Linked DNA regions of Ovis aries. The protein of the gene in region 1 purifies or fractionates together with the protein of each later gene. This does not show direct contact. Links are inferred from orthologs where the notes say so. Each region holds a gene or a part of one and is shown on either strand. Other genes may lie near its edges.

Region 1 (4,063 bases):
ACTGAATATTCCATTGTGTACATGCACCGCACCGCATCTTCTTTATCCATTCCTCTGTCAGGGGACATTTAGGCTGCTTCCATGTACTGGCTATTGTAAATAGTGCTGCACTGAACATTGGCGTGCACATATCTTTTCAAATTATGATTTTCTCCAGATGTATGCCCAGGAGTGGTGTTGCTGGATCATATGGTAGCTTTAAGTTTTTTAAGAACCTCCCCTACTGTTCTCCATAGTGGCTGCATCAACTTACATTTCCACAGTGTAGGAGGATGCCCTTCTCTTCAAACCCTCTCCAGCATATATTGTTTGTAGCATAAAATCCATTTGTAATTCTGGGACCATAGTTTGCTGATAGAAGGTCAGTTAGGTATTCTGGGATCAGATCATGCAGGACATGTAGGACACGGTTAACAATCAGATTAAGGCAAAGCCCCTTTCACTCTCCAAATGGAAAGTCACCCATTAGGGCGATTGAAGGCCTGGGTGTCAGTTCTGGGAGGCAGTTTCCTACAGCCCAAGGGAGAGCATCAGGTTTGTCCCCCTCCCCCCTGCCCCCACATACCATCAAGGGAGGACAAGCAAACACACGCACACCCCACGCCCCACCACACACCTACACCCACCCACCCACACCCACACACCCTTCTAGCCAGAAAGCCAGAGCGGACGTGCCCAGGTTCACGCTGACGTTTTTCCAGCACGCACTATGGGGTTTAAAGTTGGACACACACCTGCTCCCAGCCAGAGCGCACCTGCTGAGCCGCGCGCCGGCCTCCTCTCGCGAGAGCGGTGCAGTAGTAGTGTCCCCCACCCCCGCCCGGCCACCAAATCCCTCTCCCCGCCCCCTCGCCCAGTCTCCGCGCTCTGGCACACTCCCTGCCTTCTCCACCGCCCCCAGGAGCAGCCTCAGCCGCCGCGCGCGCTTCCCCCGCCCCCCGCCTGCCGATCGCTCGCTCGCACGCACGCCCGGTAGTAATTTCACTTTGCCACGCGAGCTCCGCATCCCCTAGAAATCCCGCCCTCCGCTCCCCGTACCCGCGCCGCGAGCCGTCCCTTTCCCCGGCCAGGTGCGCGAGCCTGCGCGCTCCACCTCCGCCTTCTCCAGCGGGTCCCTGGCGCGCCGGAGCCGGGGCCCGGCGGGGGCGGATGCGCGCACGGCGCCTCTCCACCAACCCGCTCCCCTGCAGGTCTCTCGCTCGCTCTCCATCCCTCGCCGGCGCTCCCTCGCTCCCCCCTCCCCGTGATTGACAGGCAAGATGTCGGTGTGGAGCGAGGCAGGAGCGAATGCAGCAGCCGTCACCCCCGGAGCCCGGCGGCGGCAGCAGCAGCAGCGCGAGGACGAGACAGCAGCCAGCCGCAGTCGCCGCCGCAGCCGCGGGAGCAATGCAGACAGCATCTTGAGAACGCGCTAAAGCACCCCAAACGGTGGACAATGCCGTGTAACTGCAGCTGGGAGGGGGGCAAACCAGATTTTTTTTGACATAAAAGCCAGCCAGCCAAAAATATATAATTTTGTCCTTCACGGAGCCGGTGTGTAAAGAGTGAGCGCTATTTTCCTTCTCCTCCTCCTCTCCCTCCCCCTCCTCCTTCTCCCCCGCCCCCCCGCTAAGTGTACAGACAGCATCACATCACCTGGTTTGCTTCTGAGAAACAGCATCTCTTCTTCTCAGGGACCAGAGACTCAGAGAGGGGAGACGTTCTAATGGAGTCTGCTTGACACCCCAAAATAAAATAATAAATTTTGGCTCTTGTCCCCTCCTCCCACCCCCACCCCCTCAACCCTGTGTGAGATGTTGGGTTTCTTCTTCATGAGACACTGTTGAGAAGTCGCAGTGGTTGGAGAGGCGTAGGGGATAGACTACCTCTACTCCCCCCCCCACACCCCCCTTTTTTCTCTCTGGGAGGAGGAGGAGGGGAAGGGGGCTTGCAGAGCAAGCGATGGATGAGGAAAACATGACGAAAAGCGAGGAGCAGCAGCCTCTGAGTTTGCAAAAAGCCTTACAGCAGTGCGAGTTGGTCCAAAACATGATAGACCTGAGCATCTCCAACCTGGAAGGGCTTAGGACCAAATGTGCTACCTCCAACGACCTCACACAAAAAGAAATCCGGACCTTGGAGGTAGGTGTTGCCTATGGAAAAAAAAGAAAAAAAAGCAATCCTTCCTCCCCTCCCCTTTCTCCCCCACCATCCCCTTTTTCCTTGATTCTGTTTGTTGGGGGTGGGGTGGAGGGGGTGGGAGGATTGCAAGGTGGGCACGGTTCGGTCTTCGATCTTCTGTGATTTATCTTGCAAACCCTGCGCTTGGATGTCCCTTCACTGTACCGCTGTCGGCTGCCGCTTGGCTGGGTGGTGGGAGCAGTAGTAGTAATTGTTATTCTTTATTATTGTTCTGGCGGCTGTGGTTATCGTTCGCTTCCTCTCTGAGGAGTGAGTTCTCTCTTTTTTCCGCTTGTGGATTTGTTGATATGCCGCGGGGGGCTTGTGTGCAGGGTAAAGACGTGAAGGCGCTGCAGAGAACCCACGTGACCTTGCGCATTCTGCAGGTGGTCAAAAGGTGGTTTTTGCTTGCGGAATGGGGCTGCCTGGAAATGTAGACCTCGTCTTTCTTGGTCTCCTTCCCAGCCCTCCCACCGCCCCCCACCCTGGGCTCCTTGGATTTGGCTTGTTTGTTTTCAGGGGTACACAAGTCAGGAGGCAAGATGCCTGAAAAAGAATTCCCCGTTGAGCTCCCCATTTCCAGTCGAATCATTTTGATGCAGGGAGCTGTTGCAGGCCTGAAGCATGCTTTTTTTTTTTTTTTTTAAGAAAAAGCCTGGATCGGCACACACAGGTGGTGTGAGAAAATACTCTGGAATCTTGGTGGGACGGTGAAAAAAAAGGAGGGTGGTCGGGAGGAGGAGTTATCTTTGGCGTGTTATAACATTCTCTCTAACAGAACTTGAGGGGGAGTTTGAAGCAATTTTGTCCGGGGGGGAGGGGGGTGGGGTGGGGTGGGAGGTAGGATGGATGCAAAGTTACTCAGAAAGAAGATGGCAGAAATTATTCCTTTCCAAGGCCATCTGGTCAAAGGAAGGAGGTTTCAAGAGGTTTAGAAAATGCCTGGCATCCACGTTGTTCCAAACACCTGAAGGGTTTAACTCACCTCCCTCCCTCAAACCGGCGGGTGGTACACATGGCTTGAGGCTTGATGAAATGTGGGAACTCCCATTACTTGGCATTTGCTGAGGGTGGTGGCCATGGGCTGGGAGCAGAGGAAAGTGGTTCTCCTGTGGTGGAGCTGGCGTGTGCAGAGCTGGGAGGGCCCTTCGTTCCAGCCCGAGTGTTTCCAAGGCCTGCACTCTTCAATCCTGGACTGAATCTTTTAGCCTTTGTGCTCCTGTCCCAGCATGGATGAGCACCTCTCCCTGATTCACTTTCAAGTCTTTCTCCTCCATGGTTTTAAATTTGGCCAGATGTCAGTCAGCAGGCAGGAAGGTCACCAGTTTGAAAGTGGAAGTTAGTGTGTGTGTGTGTCTGTGTATATTGAATATGCTATTTGCTCCCCTAGAATGTGTCTCTGTATGCACCTGTCACCTGGGAAAATAACTGTCAGAAATGAAATAAGTGTCAAGGGGTAGCAGAGGCGTGGGAATTCTGTTGGGAGGCACAGGTATTTTCTTTCTCAGAGCTTTGGAGAGCCATGCAGGGTGGGACTCTGCCGATGGAAGAAAAAGTGTGGGATGCCCTGGCCCAGCCTTCCGTCTCTGTTCGAGCAGTGCCTCAGAGAAGATTCTGTTCAGAATTGCATGCTGTAAATAAAGAAATAACCCAAAAGGGCCACCGGAGGTCTCTTCTGATCCTCTGAGTCAGAAGTCCCAAATGCTAGCTTGTGTATTAGTATGTAACTTTCTCTAGTTTTCTTTTCTTTTCAACATGCTTCATCCTCTGAGAGCTCTGTGGCTCATGGTGATTGTTGCAGTGGGCCACTGATTCCATTGCTTCTTTTCTGCATAGAGAGGTATTTTAAACTGGGAGAGGTAGGCATTGGTATGGTGGGAGGTGGCAATTACTGGGAGTGCAT
Region 2 (3,557 bases), on another chromosome or scaffold:
CTGTCAGGATCAGCAGGGATCCTGCTCTGGGCTGTGGTCCCTCCTGGCCCTCTGATGGGCAGGGCAGTATCCTGACCAGTCCCACAAGACCCAAGGGAGCTGGTCTCCAAATGTTCTCTGGACTCCAGAGTGGCGTCCCTACTCCTCCTGCATCTTAGTGAGAGCCCCAGGCTCGAGTCCCGGGAGTGTGTTGCGCCCACGTGGCTCTCCTGACTTCCTGTGCTCCCAGCAAAGGAATGTGTGTTCAGCCTCTGTGTGTGTTCCTGCCCTCAGCCCCTCTGGCTTTAAGAACGGAGTTACAGGCCTACCCAAGGCCACGTCCCAACACTGGCCCCCTTCTTTGGAGTGATGGCCCTGAGTCAAAGCTGGCACAAAACCTCAGTGTGCACTCCTGTGCCTGTAGACCAGCAGCTCTGTTCTACTGAGGACCTGAGGCTGAGCTGGTTGGTGTCTGGCTTGGGCTTGAATCCTCTTGGGTCTGTTCTTTGCAGTTGACCTAGTCTGTGGGCACGAGCTGGGTGTCCCCTCACAAGAGAGAACCATCCTGCTGGGGGTGGCTGTGGGAAGGCATGCTGTCCAAGGGCCTGCAACCAGAGCTCGGCTCTGCAGGCAACCTTCAAGTAGGGGTGGGAGGTTTTGCCTGGGGGCCTCGTGGGTACCAGGCACTGTGTTGCCAGAGTCTTCCACAGTTCTTCAGGTTTTAAGGGGCATTCATGTGGGTCACACACATACACTGTGCCCCCTGAACTCCGCTCACACCCCTCCAACAGGCAGCTCTCTGTCCTTCCACCTGGCACCCCCACCTTCCCTTGTCCATCTGGCTGAGTCCCACCCATCCTTTGAGGCCTGGCTTCCGTGTTACTGGAATCCTGGGTCCCACCTGTCTGATTCCTCTATCAGCACCTCTACCACCTGGGGTTGCTCTGCCTGTGTCTCGCCCATTCCCGGTGGCATGTCCCCTCCAAGCAGGACCTTCTCTGCTGTCTGCTCATCACTGGCCCTGCGTGTAATCAACTCCACAGAAATGTCTTAAATTGGTCACTTTCAGATACCTGGGCTCTGGCTCTGCCTCTGACAGGGGTGGGTGGGAATTATACTGTTTCCTTGTGGTATCATGATGGCTTGGGCACCTGGGACTCTGAGCAGCCAGGTCAAGGATCCACAGCCTGGCTCTCTCCCACCATGCGGGGAATCTTGGCTTCCTTGGGGTTTGTAGCTGGGCATTACTCTGGGCCCCTTGTCAGCTGTCTTCTGCATCTCTAGGTGGTCATTTCCTTCCTCATCTTTCCAGGTATCGTGATGAATTTGGTGACAATCCTTTCTGTCGACTTGGACTCAAGGGGATGGGGAGCCAGGCTCCCGGGGGGGGGGGGGGCAGCAGAAGGCTCTTTGTGGTCTCTCGGCTGTCAGGGGAAGGGGAACCCACCCCGATGAGGGGCAGCGGTGAAGCAATTGCCCTGTTGAACAGGGCACTGCTGGGTCTGCTCCTGGATGGGTGACACTGCACAATTTGGTTCACAGAGCTCCCCCTGTAACCAAGTGGATAGTGTTGCCTCTGATGATACTTTTTTTAAGTAGCTTTAATGAGATGTAATTCACCTACCATACAGTTGAGCCTTTTAGAGTATTTAACTCAGTGATTTTTAGTATATTCGTGGAGCTGTGCATCCATCACCATCATCAATTTGAGAACATTTTCATTACCCCAAGATGCATTCCATCCCCATGAACAGTCACTCCCCTGCCCCACCCTCAGGCCCTGGCAACCAGAGACCCGCTCTCTGTGACTGAGGGTCAGCCTGTTCTGGATGTTTCCCTTTAATGGAATCACACCCTGTGTGTCCTTCTGTGTCTGCTCCTCTCACTTAGCGTTATGTTCTCAGGCCGCATCCATGTGGTAGCGAGTGTCGGGGCTTCTCTCCTCGTCATGGCTGAGTGATGCTCATATGCGTGGAGGGACAGCATCCTCGGCCTGTCCCTCCTTCAGTTGATTCAGGGCGTACAGGTTGCTCCCATCTTCCAGATTCTGTGAACATTCCTGTTCAAGTCTGCTCTTGGGTGTGCGTCCTCAGCGCCCAGGTAGGTGGATGACCCCTCCTTTCCCGCCCCCTCAGCGGTGCGGCCCTGACCCCGCGCCCCTCTTTCCCGCAGCTGATCCACCTGGAGATCAAGCCGGCCATCCGGAACCAGATCATCCGAGAGCTGCAGGTGCTGCACGAGTGCAACTCCCCGTACATTGTGGGCTTCTACGGGGCCTTCTACAGCGACGGCGAGATCAGCATCTGCATGGAACACATGGTGAGCCCGCCCTCCCCCACCCCCCAGAGCCCTGGCCTGTTCCGGGGGGCCCAGCGCAGTGGGGAGGCGGTGCAGCTGTGTACACACTGCACATAGCTTCCTTCGTTTCTTAAGCACCACGTAGCCTCCTCTCCATTTTGCTTTCTCCCCGGATCCATGGGAGACACTGCTCTCTGTGGGCTCAGAGCTGGCCCCATCTTGTTCCCTCTGTTGGTCACCCCGGCATCCATGTGCACCCACCGGGTGATTTATGAAGCACTGTTGGTGGACACTGAGGTTGTTCCCAGTCCCTGCCGCGTTACGAATAATGCTACATTGAAAGTCCTTGCACCTGGGACTTCCTTGGTGGTCCAGTGGTGAAGACTCTGCGCATCTGCTGCAGGGGACGGGAGTTCAATCCCTGGTCAGGGAACTAAGATCCCACATGCTGTGTGGTGCAGCCAAAAAAAAAAAAAAAACCAGGAAAGTCTGTGAACCTAAGCAAGCCCACCTGGGGAGGGCTGCTTGAAGAAATGCTTGACTGCTCCTTCCCACATGTCCTCTAGCCAAAGTGCGTGGTCTGGGACACAGTTCTGGACCCCCAGCTCAGGCCTGTGGGGACCAGGCCTCTGCAGTGGAGGGTGGGCGCCCATCTCCTTTAAACCACGACTGATTCCTATGCGCCCTGTCATTAAGGAACTCTGGTCTCAAGGCTCAGAAATGGGTGGGATTGAATGTCATGAAAGCAGAAGTGGTCAGAGCTGAAGGCCCCTGGAGGAAACATTGCCGGCCCTCTGCCACCCGCCCTCGGCAGGTAGAGCCCTGCCCGAGCCCAGCTGTCCAGGCCCCAGCCCTTGGGGGCCCTTGCAAAACCAGGATGCAGTGTGGCTTTCAGCAGGCAGCTTCTGTTAGGCCCGGCCTCCAGCGCACTGTCCTCTCTGATGGTTTTGTAATGAAGTCAGGAAACGAATTTGAGCAAGAGCCCACCAGGAATGCTTGTGAGCCACGGGGAGGGTTCTCCCCACAGCTGCTTTGCCCCCACCTGGCAGTGCCCAGTGGGTGCCCTTTCCTCACTGGGGAGAAGGCGGTCATATCTGCCCGCCCACCTGGCCACCTCCTTGCAGATGAGAGTCAGGAAGAGTTAGGGTGAGAAATGGACGTGAGGTCACTCTGGTCTGAGGGGGCCTCTGCTGTATTGTAATGAACCCCCCACTCCCACCCCCACCTCTCTCCTTCTTCCCTCCCCACCTCCACCTCCTCTGTGTTCCTGGCCACAGCAC
Region 3 (4,289 bases), on another chromosome or scaffold:
TATTACTATCTAACAGTATCGTGTGATTTAGCCTCAAACGTAGCTTGTTTCACATGTGTCCCTGTTTTTCTGTAGCTTTGTTTAATCAAAAATATTTGCCCACCCCCAAATTCAAAAGGAGCCACACCTGAGGGTAAGTGACTTAAAAATACTCCCAACATTTATTACGTAGATGTAAGAATTCAACTTATATTTAATTTTGAAGCTATAATGTGGTTGACCATTTTACGATACGGTCTACCACAAGTTAAAAGTGGACAGAAATCAGTAATTGAAACATGTAAAAATTGAATTTGAAAACAGTATTTTAATTAAAAGGCACTTTTACAGTTAAAGTTCCCAAAACATGCTTTTGTAAATTAAACTATGAAATATAGCTTTAATTTATGGTATGTGATACATTTAAGCATCACAAGATAAAAACTATAAAACTTCTAATTATACACAATAGTTAGACTAATATACTCCTATACACTTAAAACAATTATATAGACCACCCATAACCCTAGTCTCATAAGATTCCTCAGAACTACTTATACAGAATAAAACTCACTCTGAACAAGTCACTGTTCAATCTACCTTCACTAAGCATCGAAAAGCCAACTCAGCTTTCAACAGTAATAATTTCTTCTACAACTATAGAAAGAGAATGTTCTTCCTTCTCTAGACTGATTGTTCTAAGCTAAGACTTTAGGAAACAAAACAACCGAAATATGTTCTTTTTCCAATGCAAGAATAAACAAAATTGAAGACTTCACTAGTTCCTAATCCAATATTTTAAAATGGTCATGTTTGAAAGACAAAGAACTCACAGCAGATAAGCCTGTTGTTTTCAAGAAAACAAAACAATTTTTATGAAAACTATCTTTGATTAAAAAAAAAAATCCCGAACAGTCACAACTAGCCTATCGGTTAGAGTGCACCTTTCAAAGGTGTTACTAATTAACATGTGACTAATAACCATTCAATGAAGCACTAATAAAGTAACATAATTAAATCAAAAGTGTAACTGTCCTTAAGAAGTTCCTTACATCTCTTATTCAAATCATATCCAGCACAGACATTTTAAAAAAAGACACATAAGAAGAAAAATCTGAGTTATCTAAACCTTCATAATATATTTTAGAATAATTATATATTATTTTTAAATTTTTTCTAAAATTGGTCAGGGCCATAACTGTAGATTTTAAGTGAGGTCAGCCGGGAGAGAGAGAGAAACAGAAAATAAGTGGAAGTATAACATAAAAACTTCCACAAGAATAAAAAGTTGTTCAACTCTACCCTCGAATTTTAAAATAAATACTCTTATGCGGGGCGGGGGGAGGGGGGAATGGGTGAAGGAGAATTCCCATAGACTATTAAAAATACTGAACCAAAATATGCCTCAACTTTTCCCTCGTCTATAATCTAACAAAACGAGAAGACAATGAAAATAAACACTCCTGTGTGCCCTCAGAGAGGCAAAGAAAGCTCCCATTCAAAGCTAAGCCGTATTCCACTCTTGTAAAGTAAATCCAAAACCACGAGCTCAAACTGCTTCATGCAGAATTTACTGAATGGCGGCCAAACGTTGTACACTCTGTCCTGAACCACAGCGAAGGATATCTCGAGCTCTGCATTCTCCATTTACAACTTGTACCTTACTATGCATGCTTTCACCACCACTGCAGAAACCGATTTTTAAACTAAGATGTTCCTCCCGGCCAAGTCAATGGAAAGAAGGCAATCTACCCGCTGGCGACACTCCCCACCTTCCCCACCCACCCCGCACCCCAAGCAATACTAGTTTTTGACTCCTATACTGCGGTCAGCACACCTTAAAAAAAAAAAAATCATTATGGGAGAAGGCGTTACAAAGCCCCCGGAGAACTGAATTACCGAACCCTGAAACAACTTTTCAGTGGCTCTCACCTGGCACTTGGGATAATCACCTGTTGGAACGGCGCTGCCCCGGTCCCCTCTTACCGGCAGTCGAGGGCGGGGAGGCCGTGTTCCCAGTCACTGGTCCCCCTCCCGGGGCGGCAGGTGAAAGACGGGGAACGCGTATATCCACACCCACCGCCCCGGGAGCGCAGACCGAAAGCCGGGGACCGCGGCTGCGGCGGGACGCTCCGTTATCCCTCCCCTCGGCGGGCCCGCCAGGTGAGCGAGGCTCCATCGCGGCCGCGATGCGTCCCGGCGCACGGCTCACCGCCGGCCCACTTCTCCCGCCGCCCGGGCCCGGGAGACCGAAGTTTCTCTCCCGCTCGCGGCGGCCGCGGCTCACGGGCCGCCTGGCTCTCGGGCGCCGGGCCGCGGGCGAGTCGGGGGCCGCCGAGACAGGAGCCGGAGCCGGGACCTGTTACCCAGGGCGGGAAACCAAAAAAAAAAAAAAAAGCCGAGTGAGGACCAGCGGGGCGCGACCGGCCTCGTCTTCCCAAGGGAGAGCGCGGCAGGGGCGGGGAGCCGCTCCCGCGGCCGCCCGGCTCCGCGCCTCCCGGAGGCGAAGGGAGCCCCGGCCCCGCTCGCCCGGCGGGGCGCAGAGGATTCCCGCGGGGGAGCCTGGGCGCCTCCAGCGCGCCCGCTCCGAGGCGTCTCGGCGCCGCCCGCCCCGCAGCGCGGTTCCCGGGCTGGGGCGCCGCGTGAGGAAGCGGCACAGCGGCGGCAGGACCGCGAAGGAGGGAACGCGGCTCCCGGGGCCGGGCGGCCACCCCGCCTCATCCCCCCCGTGGCCATGGCGCCGGTACCTGTCGCCGTGGCGGCTCGCCCGTTCTGTCGCTCTGCCTCAGCCGCGCGCCGCCAGCCCCTCAGCCCGCCCAGCAGGCCGCCAGCGCGCCGGACGCCGCCGCCGGAGACTGGCAGCGCCCGCGAAGCGGCCAGAGTCCCCCCGGGCAGCGCCCGGCGCAGTCCCGCCCCCGCGGGCCGCAGGACCCGCCTCCCATAGGGCCCCGGGGCTGTCAGTCCGCCCCAAAAGACGCGCGGGCTGTCGCTCCTCCTATCCCGATTGGCGGCCGAACGCCGTCCATGCAAATAAGGCCCCGCCCCCGGCCATTTGCACCTCCGCCTTGGTGTAACCTCCGCCTCCCCCACGCCAGCCCACGTGTCTGGCCCTTGCCCCTTTGTGGGCGCTGTAGGGAAGAGAGGGAGGAAACTGAACGACGCCCCCTCACTCCATCCCTTACCTCCGGGGAAACTAATGCCCAAGCAAGCTAGTGGACTTCACATTGGGACCTCTCTCTGACAGTTCTGCCCTCCTGTCCGCCCACCCGACCTGATTCGCGGAAGGAGAGGGGCAGGCCAGGCTTGTTTGCGTCAGGTAAGCAAGCTAGGTTAGCCCCGGGAAACAATACCAGGGGAACTGGTATTGTCCATTTGGAACTGGGGGGAAAAAATCCCATCTGGAGAAACCATAGCACGTAGCACTTGCCTCTGGACACTCAGGGACTGTTAAGACTAGGCTTTCCCTCCGTCTTCTACCTTTCAAACATGAGATCCCAGGTGACTGAGACAGCAGAGGATTTCTGTGTTTTCTTAAAAGATGTCTGTGTTCTCTGCCGCCTGCCAACGGGTAGGTCTGCTGAGCAGCTGGACTTCAGGAGGGGGCTCAGGGCCCCTGGAGTGTAATGGCCAAACCAAGATTGGGATGAAGGGGACTGAGCTAGCAGCTCCTGGGCCTTAGGGAGTGGCTCGCTCAATCTCATTCTTGAGGAAACAGGAACCTGAAGTCCCACAACTGTGGAGCTTAATAATCACCTATTGAAACCTAACATCTCCTAACTCCACATCTGGCCTCAACACTATATCACCTAGGGTCATTTAGGTATTTATGAAGAGTTTCTTCTGCAAATAACCATCCCTGCCTTCAAGAGGTGCCACCTGCAGAAACAACCACTAGAGCTGACGCTGAAACCTCCTCAGTGAGGGCAAAGGCCCTGCTTCAGGGCCTAGAAGCTTACCTTTTTACCAGATGCCAAAGAGTGTCACTGAAACAGTTTATTTGTGCATTAATTCTGCATACTAATGCCAATCGTTTAAGCATCTACTGTGATTTTAATGGGGCTTCTCAGGTGGCGTGCTAGTGGTAGAGAACCCACCTGCCAAGGCCCGACCGTCAAGAGTCACGGGTTCAGTCCCTGGGTTGGGAAGATCCCCTGGAGGAGGGCATGGCAACCCATTCCAGTATTCTTGCCTGGAGAATCCCCATGGACAGAGGAGCCTGGCAGGCCACAGTCCATAAGTTCTCTGAGACACAACTGAAGCGACTTAGCATACACCCACATGCTTTTTAACAGCCTGGAGTTAAGCACTGT

Evidence for each region.
Region 2: the proteins of KSR2 (region 1) and MAP2K2 purify together in Homo sapiens (affinity purification with mass spectrometry; 3 studies listed by BioGRID and IntAct, with this or other methods). This does not show direct contact. The link is inferred for Ovis aries from reciprocal best matches to the Homo sapiens genes KSR2 and MAP2K2.
Region 3: the proteins of KSR2 (region 1) and FKBP5 purify together in Homo sapiens (affinity purification with mass spectrometry; 3 studies listed by BioGRID and IntAct, with this or other methods). This does not show direct contact. The link is inferred for Ovis aries from reciprocal best matches to the Homo sapiens genes KSR2 and FKBP5.

Annotation. Positions count from the first base shown.
Region 1 is NC_056070.1:57,243,520-57,247,582, forward strand, and holds the start of KSR2 (kinase suppressor of Ras 2), read left to right. Parts: upstream 1-1,245; 5' UTR 1,246-1,941; coding exon 1,942-2,121; intron 2,122-4,063. UniProt on the Homo sapiens protein: Location-regulated scaffold connecting MEK to RAF. Has very low protein kinase activity and can phosphorylate MAP2K1 at several Ser and Thr residues with very low efficiency (in vitro).
Region 2 is NC_056058.1:17,717,481-17,721,037, forward strand, and holds part of MAP2K2 (dual specificity mitogen-activated protein kinase kinase 2), read left to right. Parts: intron 1-1,410; exon of another isoform or gene 1,411-1,938; coding exon of another isoform or gene 1,939-2,079; intron 2,080-2,151; coding exon 2,152-2,298; intron 2,299-3,557. UniProt on the Homo sapiens protein: Catalyzes the concomitant phosphorylation of a threonine and a tyrosine residue in a Thr-Glu-Tyr sequence located in MAP kinases. Activates the ERK1 and ERK2 MAP kinases.
Region 3 is NC_056073.1:9,818,941-9,823,229, forward strand, and holds the start of FKBP5 (peptidyl-prolyl cis-trans isomerase FKBP5), read right to left. Parts: upstream 2,837-4,289; 5' UTR 2,727-2,836; intron 1-2,726. UniProt on the Homo sapiens protein: Immunophilin protein with PPIase and co-chaperone activities. Component of unligated steroid receptors heterocomplexes through interaction with heat-shock protein 90 (HSP90).